Linked DNA regions of Rhinolophus ferrumequinum. The protein of the gene in region 1 interacts with the protein of each later gene in a pairwise test. Links are inferred from orthologs where the notes say so. Each region holds a gene or a part of one and is shown in the gene's direction. Other genes may lie near its edges.

Region 1 (7,261 bases):
TATTTATGTAGTGTCGCAGGCAGCAGACTGTTCCTGTTCTCTCCCCAGCTTCCTCCTGGGCCCATCTATAAATTCACTAAGCAAGACTCACTCAAAGTGGGGTCCCCGGACAAATGCAGAATCCTGAACCCAATGCCAGACCTTTGAATTGAAATCCCCGGGGAAGTCTGACCCAAGAAATTGCCTTTAACAAGTTGCCCAAGTGCATCTGATGCCGCTGAGTTTGAGAACTTCTGTGGGAGCCTAGGAACATGGAAGAAGACCTTTTCTTTTTTTTCTCCCCAGCATGGGGCAGACCTCCCACCCTTTGTTGAATGTTGGAGAAATTACTAAATCCAAAGCAAGAGATAAAGGATTTCTCCTCATCTGAGGGCACTTTGGGATGGTTCTACTCAGGCTTGATATTCACTAGGTAACCACTGGTAAGGCTGTAAATGTGTTAAAATGTTAAAATTCTTCCAATGCGGTTAGCAAATACCCATTGCTCTTACCTCTGTTTTATCCATTGGCCCGGCTGCCCAGGCCTCTCCCTGGCACTGCCCCATGATCTAGCCACTAAAGGGTTAACCCCTGGTCTAGCATGCGGTGTCATCTATTCTCATTGGTCAGTGTAGGTGTCAGTCAGCCCCTCATAGGTCCAACCAGTGTCTTTGTATACGGGTGGGCTTGTGCCCTACTTGTGACCCTACCCTGTGGAAGGGTGTGGGGAGGATCCTGGGTGGGTGATACCCCAACAGTTTACCTTGATTCTAGTGTAAGTGTCCCTGTCTTTACAGGCCCCCTAGGCCTTAATGGGTAGAATCCTAGTGGGTGAAATGGCATTTCTGGAGGTGGTGCTGGTACCTCAGTAGTCAAATGCCTCAGGTTATGGCCACCACCAGCTGTGGTATCCCTAGAGGTTCTCTAGCATGGCTGCTTCTGAGGACTGCAGCTTCCATGGGACTTTGGCTCTGAGAGATCCTGGAAGAGCCTGGGTGAGAGCACGAGGCATGCAGGAGTTCAAGTCCACAAACCTCAGGGCTGTGTTGGCATGGCTTGACAGATGAAAACCTGCTTGGCACAGATGATGCACGCAGGGGTTAGTGTGGGGCCGGGAGAGTTTGGGGAAACAGTGTCTGTTTTCATTTATTTGGTCAAATTTGCTAAAAATCACTGAATGCCTTCCTATCGTGGCATTAGACACATTTCTCTCGTTAATAAAAATGCAGGCAGGTACTTACATATTTATCCTGTGCCAAGCACAGTTCTTTACTCATTTGAGTTACCATCATCCCCATTACATAGATGAGGAGACTGAGACCCATAGCCACAATTCGAATTCAGGCAGCCTGCCATTAGAGTCCACACTGGGAAACACTACCTTTCTTCTCAAGTTACATTATTAAAAAAAAGTGTGTGTGTGTGTGTGTGACTTAGTTGGTAACAGAGATCTGAAATATATAAAAAACTGTCTATAATACAATGGCTAGAAACATTCTGAGTGAAATTGCTGTCAGTTCAGTAGAAGCTGAGAAAGGAGTCAGCAACCTTAAACAATACTACTGATGTTAAGAGAAATTATCTACCTATGGGGACTCCAAGTAACCTAATGATTATCGAGTAATTGGGGACGTCATTGGAAAAGTTCCATGTGTATTACTATGTCAATCATGGCTCAGAAAGGGGCATTGTTTACTTAGTGACGGCATGCCAAACAAAAGGTCCGCAATTTTTAAAGCTCAACAAATGATCTGGATAGCATTAGAAACTGATAAACTACTTGCATTAAAACTCATATGTAGGGGCCGGCCCGGTGGCTCAGGCGGTTAGAGCTCCATGCTCCTAACTCCGAAGGCTGCCGGTTCGGCTGTGCCCCCTGCAACTAGAAACGGCAACTGGACCTGGAGCTGAGCTGCGCCCTCCACAACTAAGACTGAAAGGACAACAACTTGAAGCTGAACGGCACCCTCCACAACTAAGATTGAAAGGACAACAACTTGACTTTGGAAAAAAGTCCTGGAAGTACACATTGTTCCCCAATAAAGTCCTGTTCCCCTTCCCCAATAAAATCTTTAAAAAAGAAAACCTCATATGTATATGCTTCTGTTTAGAGAATACTGGAGATTCAATGTTTTAAATTTACATGTCGATTAACTACTTACAGGCTTTTAAATATTTTGGTTATCACCTCGGCATTGCTTATTCAATTCTCTATTCTATTCTTTTGGTCCCACCTGTCAGCTGGAAAAGAAGATAAGCTCTCAGACTGAGCTCTGATGTGTTGAGCTGTATCCCCTTTCTGCTTCATTTGTTCCTCCTCTGGCTCATACTTTTTCTTTGAGGGAGAAAGAGGTAGATACCTCCTTCAGGTGGAAAAGGCTTTTCTGGCAATCGAATGGGGATGTGGGCAAGGAGGCTATCCTGAGTAGGGCTATTGCTTCCTTCCATAAACCCAGGTAATTGAGCTGTCATATTTAAAGTTTTATTGGTTAAGATTCAAGTTAGGACTGGAGCCCTTCTTTTGCAGGTTCCTTCAGGGCTACATGTGGAAAAGAACAAACAGAAAACTCAGTGATGCGTCCTGAATAGGGCTGTAAGAAATGACAAGTCGTCAGTCCCTATGGTCTCAAGGAACACTGAAGGGGAGGGAGTTGTTTGAACACTTCAGAACAGAAAGGAAATGCAAAGCTCTTCCATTCAGTATGTCAAACCAGCTCAGAAGTATGTGACAATCCAGGCAGAGCATTACAGTTTCAAGCCAGTCCAGTCATGATTCTCTGGCAAACCGCACAGTCATGGTTATGAGGCATTGGGATGAGGGGTGCTATATAAATGTCATCTGCTACATAAATGTCAGGAATAATTATTGTTTGTTAATGGGGGCTAAACTGTTTCTAAGCAAACCTCTTACTCTCAGCCAACACATCCTTAGCAGAGGTTGTGACCACCAGTAACCCAGGAGAAGCGAATGCTCACTCCTGGTTCTAGAAAGAAGCCTAGTTGGGATCTGGGCTTTAAAAACAGGGGTTGGGGTGATGCCACTGCCACCAATTGCTCAAGTGACTTCAGGCCAGCCCCCTCACATTCTGGAGTCTGTCTTCCTTCACCTGTAAAATGGGGATAATTATAACACCTGCCCTACTTCTTGTGTTGGGTGGTGAGAATCAAGAGAGTTCACGTGGGTGTGAGTGCTTTGTAAAGTGTGAGCTGCTGCAAGGATGACAGCGGTCGCATAAAATCGGCTGGAATCTCGCCTATGCCTTCCCTTTGAGTCCGCCTCATAGGGAGAACATCTGAATGGAAATTAAGCTGAAGATGGTGATGGTGACTGGCCAACGCCGAAAATGCCAGGCTCCTTCTCTCAGGAAGTTGTCAGGAAGATACTGCAGACCAGGCGCCGGGATCCTGAATTCTGGCTCTGGCTCTGCTACTTGCCAGCCTGTGAGCTTGGGCAAGTTACAGACAAGGCTCTGGAGGGAATCGCCAAGGGCCCTTCCGGCTCTGACGCTGAGTCTAAATCAGGCTCATCACTTGGCTCCAGCAGTGATTCACCTTTCGCCTCCAGGAGCAACTCTCCCTCCAGCTTCTCAGAAGCACGAAGCAGGGGTCTTGGAAAGGGTGGGGTTTGTGTATTTCATGTGAGGGTGCACAATAAAGTTATTCCCTGCAGGTGAGGTGGGGTGGGGGCGGTTAAAAGGAGTGCTGTGTGCGCGCTCTGAGAAACCAGGATGCAGTGCAGGGAACACTGTAATGAGGTCACGACTGTTGTCGCAGGCAAAAAGGAGCTGGACATCTGCTGTTGGGGGAGGAGGGTAGCGTCCTTCATTTCTGTTGGTAGAAAGTCTCTTCCCGCACCCTTCAGGACCCCCTTCCCACCTCTCCCCTAACACCCCTCCCCACACCTTTCAAATGCTACCAGGCCCTCCTCGCAGGAGAACCCGTGTCTGTGCCTCCTCCGTGGTCCTGTCTGAAACCCTGAGGATTGTTTCCAAGCTGACTCACACCACTAATGTCAGGGAGCCGTGTCACACGGCGCTGGGCTCTGCAAGCTGTTGCTTGCGCGGTCGTCGCCGCCGCCGCTCCGGGGTGGGTGCACCAGGTTCCGCTGGTGGGGCGGGGCTGGGGCGGGGCCCGCCCCCTTGGCGCGCCGGCCCCGCCCCTCCCTCTCTCCCCCGCGGACCGCAATGATTTAGAAGTTCAGGAATCCCACGTGACGTCACCGGGGGGGTGATGTAATGCACTCTAAATAGAATGTATTGTAATCTTTGCTCAGTCCAACGTGGTCCCTTCACCCGGGCTCCGCTCTTGCCTTCTCCACACTTGTTTGGTAAGTTCCTAAAAATACGGCTCGGCCACTTCTGGGGCTTTTGCATTTAGCCACTTTTGTTGCACTTGCCGAGGGAGCCATCTCGGGAGCGTACTTGTTTGCAGGGGTTGGTTCTCGGCAGCAGCCGCGAGGTTACTCGGTCCAGTGGGCAGGTCACAGGGCAAGGAGTAGGGAAGATGCGATGCATTTTTTTTTGGAGGGTGATCTGTGTTTGTAAACACTTTGGCGGACCAGAAGGAAGTCCGGCCCCAAATAATGGTGAACTGTGGAATTCTGCTGTGTCCTGAGGCCACCCCAGAGACCCCACGCCGTGTCTTTCCCGGAGCGCGTCTCGGTGGCCGCTGCGCCGTGCGACTGAAGGGATGCTAACGTGGAGTGAGCGCTGTGTCCACCCGGCGTGCGTGCGTGTGTGGGAGCGCGCGTGTGTTTCCCTGACGCGGGGAACAGTTATGAATCGGGGGTGTGTGTTTGCCTCCAGAGACCTGGCAAGGTGCGGAACCCTCCAGAAGTGCGGTCAAGCGGTGGCACCGGCGGTGGCAGCGGAGACGGCGAGCCAGGAACCTCCCCCCGCGTCCCCAACTTCCCGGTGATGCGGCGGAACCCCCGAAGAAAGTTTGCAAACTTCCAGCAGGCGCGGCGAGGACGCGTGGTCACCTAGCGGGTGGGCAGGAGGGCGTGCGGGGGGGCTCGCTCCCTCCCGGGTGCCGAGTCTGCTGCTGCCACCTCTCCCGCAGGGCTGCCCGCCGCAGCTGGTGGGCGCGCGCACCCGGGGAGGGGACATCGCCCTTGGAGGCACTTGGCTTTCGCTCCAGGCACGGAAGGCTTGAGAGTGGTGAGGCTCTGCTCGCGTTCACTCTTCAGCCGCCTCCTGCCTCCGTCCGGTGCTCGCTGGCATCGTTACCTCTTCCCCGCCGCTGCCCCAAGTGACAGCTCGGGCTTCTGCCGCGGCGGCGCGGTGGCAGTTCCCAGGACTCGGCGAAGGAACCCTCCTCTACGACAGTTTCTCCACGGAACCGCTTAAACTTTTCACGAAGTTCTTAGAGGGGCAAGACACGCGAAGGAACGAAGGAGATGTTTTCTCCTGGCAGCTGCACCCAGCTTCTTCTTTGCCATAGATTTATTTCCGGGCGGGGGCGAGGGTGTGTGTTATCTGGTAGATAAAGCCCCAGACGTTGTCCACCCTCCTTCCTAACTTTCCCTGAACGGGTGCCGCCCCCACTTGATGTTTGTTCAAGGCCAGGAACCGGAGTGGGCTGCTTGTATATTTTGTTGTCAGTGTCCGCAGAGTGTGTTTGATTTTTATTTTTCCCTCCCTCTCTGACATGTGTCAAGGAATAAAGGCTGGATACAGGTCCATTACGTCATTCTGCAGGCCAGTAAGTGATTAACAGCTTCAGATACTCAAGGGTTCGGGGGCTTAGAAATGCTGACAAAGCAACTCTGCTTCCCACCCCCAGCCCCAACATACTTGTACAAGCGCCAGTTCCGTGGGCATCTGTATTGCTCCCTCCTCCGGGACCCCTCCTTCGTCACCCCCTCTCCCTCCCACACCGTTATCACTCTGGCCCCGCCTCCGCCTTTTACTGTTTTCCCCGGGGCTATCACTGTCCCTGGAGTGTGGGTAAGAGCTTCTGGTGTCTGAGGGGAGCACGGTACCTGATCAGCACACGCACAATCTGCCCTTTTCTATTATTTACGAAAGGCACCAGCGACCCCTCTTCTCCAGGGCGAAAACACTCAGCTCTGATAGAAAGACATCTCAGGAAATGCTTAGAGACGTTATGATGATACTGTGTCCCTGTGGTGATTTAGGAAAACAACACACCCACTGCAAACATAGCACTTAATTTTACGTAGCGCCTTTCTCCAACCGCTTAGCAGACCAGGGAAGAAGTGAGGATGCTGACTAAATCAAATTTAGCTGAAAGGATCAAGATTAAACGTTTCATTTCCAAAGTGAGGGAATGTGAGTCGTTAAACCCAAAATACCATACAATGAATTGCTGCGTGTGTTACTTTCTTTCCTTCAACCTTAAGTTTCTATATTTAAAGAGGACGTTAAATACACACGTTATATGAATTGAATCAGAACTTCATATTTGGCAGTGGAAATAAAAACACCAGTGTGTGACCATGTTTAAGGGATAAAAGTAAAAACTCTTGGAGCGGGAGGAGTGTGCACAGCAGAAATAAAAAAAAATTACTAGTGGGGTTTTGGATGGAGTGGGCAGAGGACTTGGGTGCTCTCTGATTTGGAGTGGCTGAAAACTAAATAAAGGAAAATTTATATTCTGAGGATGTGGGGATTTCTTGAAGAACACATGTTTTGTTATAGTCAGACCTACTTTCTTCAAAGTGAAAGCCATGCTGCAGAGTAAGCATTTGTGAAACTCCTGTCTGGGATCTAATTGACAATCCTTCCCCAAGTTCGAGGCAGTATTTATTATTTATTCACATCTAGAGATGAAATAGTACTGCCCCCCCACCCGCACAAACATGTGCATCTAAAATGTTAAACTTCTTGTTTATGATGCATAGACCTAAAGGAAAAAATGGCCCGGGTCACGGACACTGGAGAGTGTGATTAATGATCAGTGATTTAGTGATCAGTGATTAGTGGTTTTATTCAAACTGTTACCTCTGACCAGAAGCACACATCAGAGGATTAACAGGCTCTTTAGATAAATGCTCATTAGTGGAAGGGGAAAAGCAAAGATAATAGGCATGTACCCAGGGACAACTTTCGAAGAAAATCATTCCCGTCTTCAGAATAATAAGCTCTATTAACAGAAAGCCCTTTTAATTTAAAACTTGCTTTTATCTTGTAAATCAAAGTTAGATGTAAAAGTTTGTAGTGCCATTATAACCTAAATTTTCCCATATCCACGAGATGTGGATTATCTCAGTAGCGATATTTTTTTTTTCATTTAAATAAACAATTGGACCTTTAGAGCA
Region 2 (6,928 bases), on another chromosome or scaffold:
CATTATGTAATGTCTTTCTTTATCCATAGTAGTTTCCTAGCTTTGTAATTTACTTTGTCTGAGAATAATACAGCCACTCCAGCTTTTTGTTTGCATGGTATATACTTTTCCACACTCATGCTTTTAACACATCTATACCATTATATGTAAAGTGAATTTCTTATTGGTGGCATATAGTTGGGCCTTTTTTAAAAGTCCAATTTAGAAATTTCTGTCTTTTAATTGGTATATTTAGACTACTTATACTTAATGTAATTATTAATATGTTTGAATTTAGGTCAATCATTTATTTGTTTTCTGTTTGTCCCCTCCATTTTTTTGTTTCTCTATTTGCCCTTTCTTGCTTTCTTTTAGGTTATTTGGACATTTTTAGTATACCACTTTAATTTATCTGTTGGCTTTTTTATTTTATTTCTTTGAATAGCTTTTCTATACAAATTTTTTTTTTTACTTATATACTAGAACATACTACTTTTAGTTCTATACAAAACATTTTCTAGCTATTCCATACAAAGAAATAGTCTACAAAGAAGTTTTTTAAGTTGCTCTAGGAATTACAATTTACATATCTAACTTTTCACAGATAACTTATAGTTGATACACCACCACTTCAAGTAGAATGTAGAAATTTTTTCATCATATAGGTTCCTTCACTCTACCCCAGTTGGGATCATTGGAGCTTATGGAGCAGTTATCACTCATAATATAAATGTACTTAGCATGAAACCTCTTGAAGCAAAATATGAATGTGTAATATTTCTAGTTAAGCATGGAGGCTTGAGCATATGCATTTATTTTCATCCATCCCTGAACCCAAATGAAATGACTGTAAAGGAATGAAAAAGTAAAAACCTGTAAGAATGAAGATAATAGAAGAGGAAACAACAGCAGACAAAGATGTCAAAGAATCTGGACTTAGAAAAGGGAGTGGGCTGATGAGACACCAAACCCAAAACAGGAATTAAATGAAAATTTGATTTTGAACAATGAGACCTCCAGCCTCCTTTCCTCTCTTAGGTCTCGGAATATTGGCAGCCAGGATTGTACCCAACTTAGACAGGAGATGGGATGATTCACTTCTGGGGAAACTGACCAGCTCAAGAGAAAAGACCTAATAAAATTGACAATGAAGGCCTTCCAATGAAAGATCCTGGTCCCCACTCTACCACCCGACAGGAAGTTCTTCAATCATGAGCTCTACCCACACTTACACTTCCAATTGACTTTGTAGTGTCCCATCCTTAAATATGAACAGAAAGTCAAGAATAATCTAACATGAAGTCTCTAACTTAAAAGTAGATACCGAAACAAACAGGAAAAAAAGAGAGAGAGAGAAAACAAACAATTAAAGCAGCAAAAGAGAGAAGGGAAAAAAACAAACTCCATAATTAATAGTCCCAGAGAGACAAAATGCAATTGTACCCTTGAAATTCTATTGATAAATGAATAGTCAGGAAACAAGAAAAATCTCTGGGGAATTAAAAATATCATGTGAGAGGGGAAATCAATAGGTGGGTTGGAAGATAAAGCTGAGGAAATTTCTTGGAGCTAGAACAAAAAGATAGATATGAGAAATGGAAGAGAAAAGCAAGGTAGAATCAAATCAGGAATTCCCAAAATGGACCCAAAAGAATTCTGGAGAGAACCAAGAAAATGGAAGGGAGAAAAAAAAAAAATCAAAGAAATAACACAAGAAAGTCCCAACACCTGAAGCACGTGAATTTCTAGATTGAAAATGTTTTGCTGGGTGCCGAACGCAATCATGTATCTCAGGTATGTCCAGGTATTTTTACAGTGTGTTTTACTCAGAGATTCCCACCACTAAGTGAAAGAGAAAATGTAGTTTATCTCTCCCCATTTTAATAAAATTTCCCCCCTTTAAGAAATGTCCCATTACAAACAAGAGTGACCCACTGGAAATCTTTTGAATTTTAACATCATGCTGTGAAGAACATTCAACACTCATTCTAAACACCTCTGCTCACCTCTTTTATTCTAGCAGCAGGGAGTTTATGTCCTTCCCTTCATAAAACAAAGGGCACTAATTCTGTAGTTTAAAAAACTATACTGACTCGGATCCTTGGAGAACTGCCATCATGCATTCACTGAGCACTTTACGTGCCTGAAAATCATTCCATCAGAAATGAGAAAGTAAATGCCTCCACGGATACACACCCGCAGAGTTTATCTCAATTGATCTCACAGATCTTACTTATCTGTGTAAGTAAGTCGGTATTGTCATTGTCTACGAGGTAATTTATCTCAATTAAACTGATCTGTAGAGAATAAATTGATGAGTGAACACTGGGTTTCATTGCTGTGCTTATTTACAACTGACCCTTTCAAATGAGATCACCAATTATCGAGAAACTGTTACTGTCGTTACCTTGAATTGGTTAAGGGTTTTTTTGTGTTTTTTTTCCTTTTTTGTCTCTAGCAGTGGGACCCAAGTTCGTACTGTAGATATAAACCTCTAAAGCTTACTTCTAGCCTCTCTGCTAATCCCTGTACCATCTGATCACTCAGTGCTGTTGTTTTCTGCTGGTTCAAGAGCAACAACGAAGTAGGTTACTTACCATGACAGCTAAGGGGAGAACATTTTTAGGATTCTAGGATTCATCTTTTGTGGAGGGGAGAAGAAGAGAGACAAAACTTAAATCATCATAGACATCCTCTCACAAAGTGTAATTTTATGTGAATATTTCCTGCCTTGAAAACAAAACAAGTTTAACGTGGCTGCCTCCAGGGAATCTAGGTCTTTAGATTTTTTTCTTCTAATAGAATTTGACCTTGAAAAGGCGTGCCTAACCTCTGCTGTTTTTCTTCAAAGCTGCTGCGTGAAGGTATCACAAGCATAAAGTCCTCAGACATGGTAAATGTTTTTGTTAAAAATACTATGTAGTCATTCTCAGGGCTTCTGTTTCGTGAGAGAGACGCGTTAGTGGTCTGCACACAGAACTGAAAATGAGATTCATAGGGCATCTTCGTCTGGCCCTGAATTTCAGCTCTCTGTGTGGTCCTTCTTCAGTCAGCTGAATCACTCCTTGTTCAACTTGGCTTTCTTTATACTAAAGAAAACAATGACTAAATTACAATGATTCTGGGACACTCTTACTTCCCAAGGGCACCATAATAACGTGAACACCCATGTGGATAAAACGAGCTAATCGCTTTAGTAGACTCCCCAAAATGTACGGCAATTTCGAGGCATTAGATATAAAAGGATGACGTGGTAATAAAACTTTGGCTTCTGATTTATTTTTTAATTAACAACAGAGTTGCTCCGACAATAATTTTTCAGCGTATTTTTAAATTGTTTTGCAAAGGATTCTTCTAGCCTCTGCATGGAATCTGAAAGTATATACTCTCGAACAATGAGATGAAGGAAACAAAGTCTTAATGTTCTCTTAGATACTCACAGTAGCACCTGCAAATTACCTTATCGGACTTGCCTTTCCTGCTTCTAACAAAAAACTGGACGGCCCCATGTGTGTTTGACACACACAGACTCTATTTGAAATTACAAAGGAAAACAAATTCCTTTTTATTGGTCATATCTTTGTTTTGCTCATAAAAGAGTTACTCCAGGTCATAGTCAAGCTCATGAAATTCATATAAGTAGAAGGTTTCTCAAAACCCAATTCCCAAGTGTTTGTTTGGGGAAGGAAATTGGACCTGTCGGAATGGAACGAATGTGGACAGTGCTGCAGCTCTGAACCAGCCCCGGGATTGACATTTCTAATCTGCTTTTCTCGTTAACACCCAGATGGAGAGGGAGACAGGGGAGGCAGGACGGGCTGTCTGTGACCAGATTCATTAAAGAATCGGGGCCTGGATGATTTGACGAGGGAATTTGCACTTGTGGGGGCTGCACTGGGCCATCCTCTCTGCCCGGGTGTCCAGGTTTCCCAGCAGGACACTGCCTTCTAGCATCTGCAGCAAGGCCACTTCTATTAGGATCACTTTCTACTATTCGCTTTCTTCAGCCATCAGTATTTATATGTAGAAAGTGGAGTGCCTGGGGCCCCTCGCCCACGTTGGAGGTCACTGCAAGGTCACAAAGGCCACAGGTAGGGAAAGACGTGTCCTTCAGCTGTCTGCTTCTTCCAGTCCGATTTCGGGTCTGGGGCCGGGAATGTCACAGTGCTCTCAGGACAGCTGAGAACCCAGTGGGTGGGTTGGGGGGGTAGGCAGAGGCTTACAAGTGGCTGGAGGGGGGCACCTACATGGTCTCCAGCCCCGCCTCCGACACTCTCTCCCCCATCTCATCTCCCCAAGGGGCCAGAAAGTTCAAACGTTTCCTCTCTTCCCTTTCTCATGTTTCTTCAATAGAAATTCCGTGCCTCGCAGGGACTCGCCTTCATTTCACAAATCTTCACTGAGCCCCTTCCACATGCCGGGCTCCATACAGCTGCCTGAGAGATCCTGGCAAACAAAAGTACACCTTGTAGGTTTTCTCCCCTTCACACAGGCACAACAAATAAGTACATCATTCACATGTCACAGGTGTTAAAGGCAATGAAGGAAGAAAGGAAAACCAGAGCAGGGTGTGGGTTGGGGAGTGGAGGTGGAAGATGAGGGGTGAGCCTCTTTGTGGAAAAGATGCCTGAGCAGGTGGGGAGGCAGGGACGGAGGGAGCCACGTGGATATCTGGGGAAAGAGCATCCAGATAAAGGGGAACAACCTGTGCAAAGGGCTTTAGGGTGCCTGGTGGATTTCAGGAGCAGAGTGGAAGAATAGAAAGTAACGGGAGGTTTGCAGCTGCGAGTCCTGAAGGGCCGCTGTCAGACTTGGGCTTTTTCTCAGAGCGACAATGGGAACCATCGAAGGTTCTAAGCAGGAGATTGACATGGTTCGACTTTAATTTTAAGAGGACTTTCTGGCTGCTGAGTTGAGAAGTGATGATAGTGAATAAAGGGCTGGAAGTGGGAGACCAGGGGGAACCTCCTGGAGGCATCCCGGCAGAAATGGTGGGCGCAGTGGGGGTGGGAAGAAGTGGTCAGATTCCAGATGCTATTCGAAGGTGGAGCCAGGCAGACTTGTCACTGGTAGGACGTGGCGTGTGAAAGAAAGAGACAAGGATGCCTGCAGTTTCCGCTTGAGTCACAAGAAGGGTGCTGTTGCTATTAGCTGGGGTGGGAAGGCTGGGGGAGACGCGGGATTTGGGGAGGGGTGAAAAATTTGGGGAGAGGTTCAACTGTGGATATCTTGAGCTGCCACTTGAATGTCAGGAGACTCATTAACTTTATTTTTGCCTCCCCTGCTATAACAATTCGAATTCTTCTCAAGACCGTATTGACTGCAGCGGAGACACACTGGCTAGAAAACTCAGAGGACAATATTTGAAGACCTTTGCTTGTGTTGCCTGTGACCCGGGTCATGCCCTGGAAACTAAAGGAGATCCTGTCCTCAAAGCCTTTTAATTGCTGGACTAAAGACTGAATGCCGGCCTTGTTCAAAACCAAAGCCACTGCTGGTCCAGCTAGGAATTGGTGAACCAAGCAGAAAATTCCAGGGCACAGGCCATTGCAGGCCCCAGTTTGGAAGATTCTGTTCCCACAACCTGACAGCATGAGCCAGCCCGTGGCTGCCATGTTCCTGGTTCCAGCCCTGCTCCAGCTGAGCTTGAAGAGTTGGGCTCTGTGGAGGGGACGAAGGGGAGAATGGGAAAGACCCCCCAGTGCAGGCCAGGAGGAGACCTGGGGCTGGCACTGGCTTGGCCCCGGCACCTCCAATGGATCTGGTCCTGCCAAACTCCAAGCCCCTTCCCCAGGAAGCATCCTGGTCTCAGAGACAACGGTCCATGGCTTACAGGTAAGGAGCAGACCTTGCCAAGGAGGGTCACAGTTCACAGTGCCTTTAGATAAAGGAAAGAAACTTCTCCAGGATGAAGTATGGAGTTTTTTCTTCAAGTCTTGTAAACATGTCTGAAAGTTGCCAGATTTAGGCATTTCTAGTATCTTCTATACTCTCAGAAGCTCCTGGCAAATGACCAGATCTAACTGAGTGCTAGGTTTTTCCTGTGATGAATATCTGTGCAGCCACAGCTGAGATGAATACTTCCTGGCCAGGGGACTTTGAAGAAGTTACTCAGTTGCTCTGTACCTCAGTTTCCTCATCTGTAAACTGGGGATAATAATGCATGTAAAGTGCATAACCCTGGGCCTGGTTGACAGTGAGCGCTCAATAAATGGTTGTTTATGTTCACATTCCGACTATACTGTGGTGGGATCTCTTTCAAGTAGTTCAGAATGAATCCAAAACCCTTTTATCTGAACCCTCCCAATGTGCCTGTGAGGTAATCTGTTTTTGAAAACCTTTCTTTCACCAGCTCTATAATGTTTCTTTAGAGGAATTTGAATACAGTTGTGTGGCCTCCTGTTAGGATCCTGACTCTGCCCCAAACTGGCTCTGTGACCTTGGGCAAGTCACAAAACATCTGCTATACCTCAGTTTTTGGACCCATTAAAATGGGGATAACAGACTATGTCTCATTGGATTGTCATGAGGTTGAGAAGAGATAGTAAATGCCAAGCGCTTTGAATCAATACCCGAGTTATTTGTGTTGTTGAAACTGTTTTATTGAATTGGATTATAAAATATAATTATTGAATTATTATTGATTTTTTTTTATTGCTATTGTTGTTGTTGTACTTATTGTTGATAAAATGGCAGAGCCTGAGATTAGTTTTTGAGTGATTCCCACTTTGCTGCTCTGGATTGCATTAATTATTTACAAGTTCATTATCTATCTCTGCTTGATTGATTGATTTCTTCACTCAACAAATATGTATTGAATGTTTGCTCTGTACCAGGCCCTTTTCCAGGATGTGAATAGGCCAACACGATTCTCTGTCTTGGAGCTTGCACACCTGGCAGGGGAGGCAGACAGAAAACAAGATAATTTCAGACTGTGATAAGAGTCATG
Region 3 (7,368 bases), on another chromosome or scaffold:
GGAGGACCCTGTACGGAATTTAAAGGAGGTCATGTAAGGCTACAGAGGAGAGAGTCAGCATTGCTTATTCATCCAGCTGTTTCTCCCAGATGCTGATCTCTTTTGATCAGTGGTTCCCAACTTTTTTCTGCCCCCACACCTGAGGGATACAATGCATCCCCTCCAGATTAGTGGTTCAGTGCATCAGTGACGTTTAAAAAGAGGAGAGGTGTACTTTGAAAAAGCTGTGCAGGTTGTTTTGACGTTCACCCCCACTTCGGGTGAGGTATGAGACTCACTGATTGACTGGCTTTCCCCCAGCCTGAAATGCCACCCATAAGAAGATACATCTGGGTTTAATAGCATCTACACTGGTTATTCCCATTTGCTGAGTGTGTGCCTTCCCCAACACCACCAGATCCACTGTCCACACTCTTCCTCGCCCTTCTCTGTGCCCTGAGAGGCTGACCTCAGTGGACTGCCTTTGGCTAGAGATGGGGGAAGAGATGGGAGAGATGCGTCTGCTGTCCTTCCCACAGCCCCTTCAGCACTCTCTCTGGCAGTGGTTATTTCTTTCCCTCCTGCTGCGTGGCTCTCTTCCATGGCCCCAGTGTACACTCGGCTCTAATAACACTATTTCCTCCCCTTTTCAACCCCAGGGTGGTCAGTTTCCAGCTGCTACTGTGTGAAGTGTCTTTCCCGATGGACTCCTGACTGATCCAGAGGCCTTTGGACAAACAGAAACACTTCCATATTAAACAGTCATTGCTTATAAGATGCACACACTTTGAGAAATGTTAAAACATCATCAAAATGTATGGCTTACTATACAGAAATGATGGCAGATTTGCTTGGGTTTGATGGATAGAGGGCATTTATCATTAAGCAACAGTGTTTGCTTCTGACCTGACAAGGCTGAAGCTGGGAGCACAGGTAACAGGCAGAGAACTGGGTGTAAAGTCAGATGAGATAGGTCTGAGTACAGTTCTGACACCCACAGGCTGGGAAATCTTGAGTAGGCTGCTTTGCCACTCTGTTCCCTGGCCTCCTCTTTGGCAGTCCAGAGTCACCCCAACTGCCATCACATCCCTGCTGGGGATGTTGTGTGTGAGGACAAGTAAGGCCAGGTATGTGAGAAGGCTTCCTGAACTGTCCAGGCTTCAGATGTGTGGGCTAGTGCAGCCCAGAGAAGGCAGCCATTCCGGGACTCAAGTCAGGAGCCAAACACTGGGCTAGAGGGACAAAGGCGGAAACTGGCAAATGGAGGGCAGGGAAGTTACAGAGACCCAAAGACACAATGAGAGGACAGCGCAAGGACCCTTTACTCTGCCTGTACCCCAGCTTCCCTCCTTCCTGTCCCTCACTTGATGTGACCTTTCCTTAGGCTGAAGGATGCTGCGAGGCTGTTTATTTATTCAGCAGAGAATTAAGGAGCACCTCTAGGTATATGACAAAGCCATGTACCAGATGAAGTCCATGCTCTCTGAAGACCTGTAAGAGAAACCAAGACATTCCAGTAGGAGGCAGGTCATGCAGTATCCTGGGTAAGAGGAAGAGCAGGTGTCACAGAGGCCTAGCTGCACTTCCAACCGGGTCACTAGCCAACTAACCAATTCTCCTGGATAAGTGCCTTAATCTCACTTTCTTGATCTGCTACCAGGGAATAATACTCAAAGGTCTGTTGGGAGTTCTGCAAGAGACAATCCCTATAAAGTGTTCAGCCTGGTGTCGGACTCTTGGTAAGCGCTCAATAAACGTTGGCCTCTGTTCTTCTTAGCATGTTATTCCAGGGAGCCCGAGTACTCTAACTATGTGATCTTGGAATGATTTCCCACGGAGGGGTCAGTTAACTGGACTTGGAGTCTGAACTCACAGTTTGGCACACATAGCCTGGCCGAGGCACCAGCTGGACCAGCAGCGGTTCAGTCCCCACAGCACCGGAGCGCAGCTCTGTGTGTCTGGCTCTCCGAGGACTGAAAGGTGAGGGCAGGCTGCGGAAGACAGGCCTCCCCGCGGGCAGAGGGAACCAGCCAAATTCTGGAGCAGGGGAAGACCGGGATCAAAGCGCTCCGAGGTAGGCCCGGGCTCACCAAAGGGAGGCTAGCGACTTGCATCAGCACAGATTCCGTGATGCTCTGCAGACGTCTCGGGGCTGCTGGGCTTTACGGGAACCCACAAGAAAGGAAAGGGCCGGGGAACAGGCAGGGCGGGGGCGGGCGAGGGTGCGCTCTCCCGCCCGCGCGCTCCCAGCGGCGCCTGCCCGGGCTTGGGCGCGCCCGGGACGGCGGAGGGCGCGGAAGAAGCTCCCGCTCCCTTCCCCCTCCTCCTTTCCCCCGCGTTACTGGAAGGACTGTGTGGGAGAGACCCAGAAGCACCCGGATTTTCGAATGCAGGGTGGGGGAGGGCAGGGCAGCCGCTGCCGCTCAAAGGAAAACCAAAAGTGTGTCTTCGCGCCTCTTTGATACGCGGCAGCTCACGGAAAGGCCTTGGACGCCCCGGCTTCGCCTCCCTTTGCCCCCCACCCCCTAAAGACCTCTCTAGGCGGTCAGAGGTCCGTGTGGCGCGGGGAGGACGGAGAAGTGAATGAGAAAGTGTCACGATTTCTTCTGCGCTCCCTCCCACACCGTCCCCACCCCCAGTTTTCTGGGGTTTGCCGCTGCCGCTGGGAAAAGGACTGATTGGTTTTGCGTCAAAGGACTGCATTTACTCAGTCCTGCTGGGAGAGGCGCGTAAACACCCTTGCAGGCAGAACTCAGGGATGACAAAACACACACACACCCCTAAGCCCCCGCGGCTGGTGTGAACACCCGCCTGCCCCACACCCCTCGCCAGAGCCCGCGGAGTTGGGGACTGCCCCGCGGGCGGTGGCGGAGGTTCGAGGAGTCTGGCTAGCCTCGCCTCGCGCGTCCTTGGGGATGGAGCTCAGGACAGAATGTGTTTTATAACTGTAAACAATGACCCCGAGTATTGTTTGGGATTACCGTATCTTGGGGTCATTGGGGCGGCCAGATGCCGCCAGCCGTCCCGGAAACGCCAGCGCTTTATATAGAGTCCCGGGAAAGCATTGAGTTCCCGGCTCTATTTTTCTTTCCTAGCAACACCTCCACTTTACAGATAAGGAAACTGAGGACCGGAACTATGATGTGTTACAGCGTTTCAGTCTTGACGCGTCTTCCCTTTGGGTCCTCCAAGGACCCTGTGGGAGTACAGATGGCGCCACTTGAGATGGGTAAACCGAGACTAAGGCAGAGCCTGGACCAGAACCCAGGTTCCTTGACTCCTACCTAGTACAGTGCTCCTCCGGATCATCTCTGCAGAAGGGTGGAAGTTCCAGAGCTGACAAGGGCCTTACAAGGTCACCTGCCCAACCCCTTCATTTTATAGTAAGAAACTGAGACCCAGAGAGGTTAAGTGACTCGCCCAGTCTCACAGCTCGTAAATACAGCCTGGCGTTCGTACTCGAAGGCCTGTGGTCTTTATCCCGCACCTCGCCCCGCCCCAGGGCGGCGGGAAGACTTAGGAGTCCCGTCTACTTGCTCCTTGAACTTCACTCCAAAACAGCTGAAGACAACGTTGGGCCACACCCTCTCCCAGACCTCCCTCCTTCCCTGTTATTATTATTTTGCAATTCGCAACAGTCTGTTGTTTGCTTATAATACCCGATTGCTTCTAGTAGTGCGTCCTAATTGTCCCGCATAGAGGGCGGCCGGAATGTTGACTGGTTAAATTTTCGTTTTCCAGCTTTCCCCTAATAAATTAATCGTCGGGCCGGGGGAAAAAAAAAGATGGGGGTAAGCAGTGGGCAGCCAGCCACTGAGCGAAGAATAGGCAGGCCGGCCCCGCCCAGAGGCGCTGTGCCCCGCCAAAGCCAGGCCGCAGGGCGGCGCGGGTACCCTGCGTGCCCAGGGCGCCCGCTGCAACCCGCGGCGCCGCGGAGGGCGCCGACGACCACGGGTAGCCGCGCCCTCCCTGCGAGCCGCTCTGCGCGCCGGGCTCCCGGCCTGGCGGTGGCGCCGCACTGAACTGCCAGTCTCGCTCTTCAGGACTGTGATTATTTTCTGAAACCCGGCGCCGAGGCCCGCGCGGCCGCTCTCGGGGGCCCCGCCCCGCGCCCCTTTCCAGGGCTGTGTGTGTGTGTGTGGGGGGGTGGGGGTAGGGGGAGCCCGCGGCGCGCTCGGGAGCCTGCGAGGGAATCCCTCTCCCTCCACGTCACGCGAAAGCAAGGGAACCCGCACTCGCGTCCTCTAACGCAAATGACCATCTTTGGCAACGTGCGCCAATGGAACAGACCAAGGGCGCTGGGCCCAAGGGGTGAGCGGGGGCAGGACAGGGCTGCCGCGGCTCCCCCAAACCGCGCCTGCCGGCCGCTCCCACCCCAACCACAGCCTTCCTTCCTCGTGCGGGGTGTGCGGCTGGCGTCAGCGCGGCCAGGAGCCGGGGCAGGGAGGAGAGCGCCGCGCCCGCCTCCTCCCGCGCCGCCTCCTCCTCCTCCTCCTCCTCCTCCTCCTCGCCTCCCCGCGCGCTCCTCCCTGCAAGGTGGAGTCGGGTTGACGTGAGTGAATCCACATGGTACAGGGGCTGGAGAATAAAGAGTGTGGAGTTGAACTCGTGCCATTGTAGTGACTCATCTCGGGCAGAGCGCAGGGGCTCCGAGCGAACCAGCCAGCAAGCGAGCGGCGCTCGGCGGGGACAGAGAGGGAGAAAGAGAGGACCCGACGGGAGAGGCGGGCCCGTCCGAGAGCGGGCGCCGGGGAAGGGGTGCAGGTCCAGGCGCTGGAACCGCGACACGGGGAGCGGGGCCGCGTCCCTCTCAGCGCCGGTTCAGCTTGAACTCCACGGGCTGGGAGACGGACGCAGGCTGCCTTCTAGTCAAGTGTCCGAGTCGCTCCGAAACTCCGGAGGCGCGTCGGCCACAGGAAGTTTATTCTCAGTTCCTTTTCTAAAAGGAGGAAATAGAAGTTTCTCCAAGCGGGCAGCCTTTCTTTTCGCTTTTTTTTCTTTTCTTTTTTTGCTCCGCTTGAAATCGGAGACCCCAGACCTGGCAGGCGTGACTCTCCGGCCTCCCATTCTTTTTTAATTTCCAATTTTTGATTGGGCCGGCGGTCCTAGCCGAGCTCTGACTGCGCGCGGGGGCGGGAGAGCGCGCGCAGGGGAGGGACGGAGGGACGCGCCGACTTCTTAGTGGGAGGGACTGGGTGGACAACCGGTCCCGCGGCGCTCGTAGAGCAGGGAAGAAGTGCCGCGCGAGGCGCTCAGGGGGCACTGTTCCCGCGTATTGCCGCCTCCCGGTCCGCGCCGGCCGCCGTGGGAGAGAAGCCCGGGAGCAGAGACTGAAGCCCAGGCCCGGGCCGCAGGGAGCGAGCGCGCAGCAGCCGGTGCGCGGCCGCAGCGAGGGCGGGGGAAGAAAAACACCCTGTTTCCTCTCGGGCCCCCACCGCGGATCATGTACCAGGATTATCCCGGGAACTTTGACACCTCGTCCCGGGGCAGCAGCGGCTCTCCTGCGCACGCCGAGTCCTACTCCAGCGGCGGCGGCGGCCAGCAGGTAAGTGCGGGCCCCGGATGCACCTGGCGGCATGGACGGAACCCCCTCCCTCCTCTCGCCGCCACCGCCTCTTTGCTTTCTTTTCCCTTTCTTGGTTTGGTGAGAAATTTCCTACGGGCCACCATTGTAAGTTCTAGATTTTCTTATCCTGCCCACCCCTCCTCCCCCATCACCACCTTAAAACATACACACACACACTCACACACACACAAACGAGCGGGGAGTGGGCTTGAAAGACAACAAACCCTTTCCTTCACTACATCTTATCCAGACAAGCTCTTTGGACACCAAACCTGTTACCTTCTCTCCCAGGAATTACGCGCCCCTTTCCCTCTCTCGGTGCTGGACCAAAAAAAAAAAAAAAAATCTTTGTACCCACTGGCTTCTCCCAATATCCTGGGACTCTATTCCTGCGGGAAAGCCCTCTCCCTCTCTTTCCCCGTTCCCAGCAGCCAGTTAATTTCTGAGCGGTTAGGGACTCGAAAACACGGTTTGGCCTTTTCAAGTAATCCGGAGTGAAGGTGAGGGCTGCCCTGGGAATCAGGTGCGAAGGTCAAGAAGGAGGAGATCAGCCTTGATTGACTGGGTGGTGTCTGTGTGCCCTGGGCCCATCCATCTTCTGTTAGGGTGGGAGCAGGAGGCTGCAAGGCCACTAGAAGGGGTGCCTGGAGGGTCTGGGAGTACCAGGGCCAAGGAGACCTACTGGGAGAAGTGGAGGAAAGAGACCTCGCTTGGGCTCCTGGGTGGTTCTGGAAGCAGAAAAACAACTTGTTTCTAAAGCAGCCGGACTGGTTTGCACTGGAGGGATTGTGCATGCATCTGTGTGTCTATAAATACCAGAAAGGTCCTGGTGGAGTGGTGGTGCTGGTGGGGTGCCTGCCCTCCGCAGCAGCCCCCACCCCCACCCCCAGTCTTGTTAGGGAGCTGGCTTCATACACACAAAGCCACTAGCAGAAGCCCGCAGCGGTCAGGATCTGCGGGGTCTAGCTAACTTGGAGGCAGCAAAAGTTGCTCCGGTAAGGCGTTGGGTGGCCTTGGTCTCTAGAAACCAGCCAGCCTGCCAGAGGGGTTAGGGTGGGCTTCCAGGGAAGGATGGACCCTGCGGTAGAGTAAAATGGAAACAGTTCTCTTTGGGATCTGAATCACCTTGTGCCAGTGATTCCCCATACCTGGTGAGTCCCCCCAAATGACTCTGAATCTTCCCTCTATCTCCCCTGGTGTCCCCATAAGCACTCACGGGAGAGAGCCTAGTCTGAGCATGGAGGGTGCAGTCACTGCACTCTTAATAATGAGCACCAAGGTGATGAGTTTAAAATCTTCTCATAAAAACGTTCGATTTATTTGCCTTCCAGCCCCGTCGGTCGGGAGTTTGTGTTGAATCCATACATCCCTAGGCACGATGGGTTGGAGTCGTTTATACCCATTCTCTCCCTCTCTGATTCAACAAATCCTCCAACGTCCCTCTTCTCCCCAAATCAGGAAGGGATCTTTTGATTTCTTGTCTATTCTTTCGCTGCAGTTTCTGTGACCGTCACTGAAATATGACAGTCTTGCTGCCTGGCTTTGCTCAGACCCTGGGGCCTGGATGGGAAGTCAGACCGGACATCAGTGCCCCAATTGAATAATCTGTGTCACTAGGGCTTTGAGCCCAGGATGTGAGCGGAGGCAATTCCCTGTTTTGGAAGAAAATCAGACAGGAAACCATTGCTAGGAAGAAGGAAGAGAACTGAGTCCAGCGGAGTGTAATGGGGCCTCATCACCGAAGCCAAAAGCAGCTGTTGGCTAATTCCTAGCATGCTGTAACACATGAGGATTTTGCAATTAGCATTAACTAGTGCATGGGG

What was found. The genes of interacting proteins can lie anywhere in the genome.
Region 2: the proteins of CREB5 (region 1) and KIFC3 interact in binary tests that used the Homo sapiens proteins (3 or more experiments, as listed by UniProt). The two-hybrid records come from large-scale screens. The link is inferred for Rhinolophus ferrumequinum from reciprocal best matches to the Homo sapiens genes CREB5 and KIFC3.
Region 3: the proteins of CREB5 (region 1) and FOSL2 interact in binary tests that used the Homo sapiens proteins (3 or more experiments, as listed by UniProt). The two-hybrid records come from large-scale screens. The link is inferred for Rhinolophus ferrumequinum from reciprocal best matches to the Homo sapiens genes CREB5 and FOSL2.

What each region holds. Positions count from the first base shown.
Region 1 is NC_046303.1:13,464,117-13,471,377, reverse strand, and holds the start of CREB5 (cyclic AMP-responsive element-binding protein 5), read left to right. Parts: upstream 1-4,248; 5' UTR 4,249-4,306; intron 4,307-7,261. UniProt on the Homo sapiens protein: Binds to the cAMP response element and activates transcription.
Region 2 is NC_046298.1:10,368,561-10,375,488, reverse strand, and holds the start of KIFC3 (kinesin-like protein KIFC3), read left to right. Parts: upstream 1-3,928; 5' UTR 3,929-4,070; intron 4,071-5,289; 5' UTR 5,290-5,571; coding exon 5,572-5,814; intron 5,815-6,928. UniProt on the Homo sapiens protein: Minus-end microtubule-dependent motor protein. Involved in apically targeted transport. Required for zonula adherens maintenance.
Region 3 is NC_046296.1:52,533,296-52,540,663, reverse strand, and holds the start of FOSL2 (fos-related antigen 2), read left to right. Parts: upstream 1-4,368; 5' UTR 4,369-5,422; coding exon 5,423-5,524; intron 5,525-7,056; exon of another isoform or gene 7,057-7,368.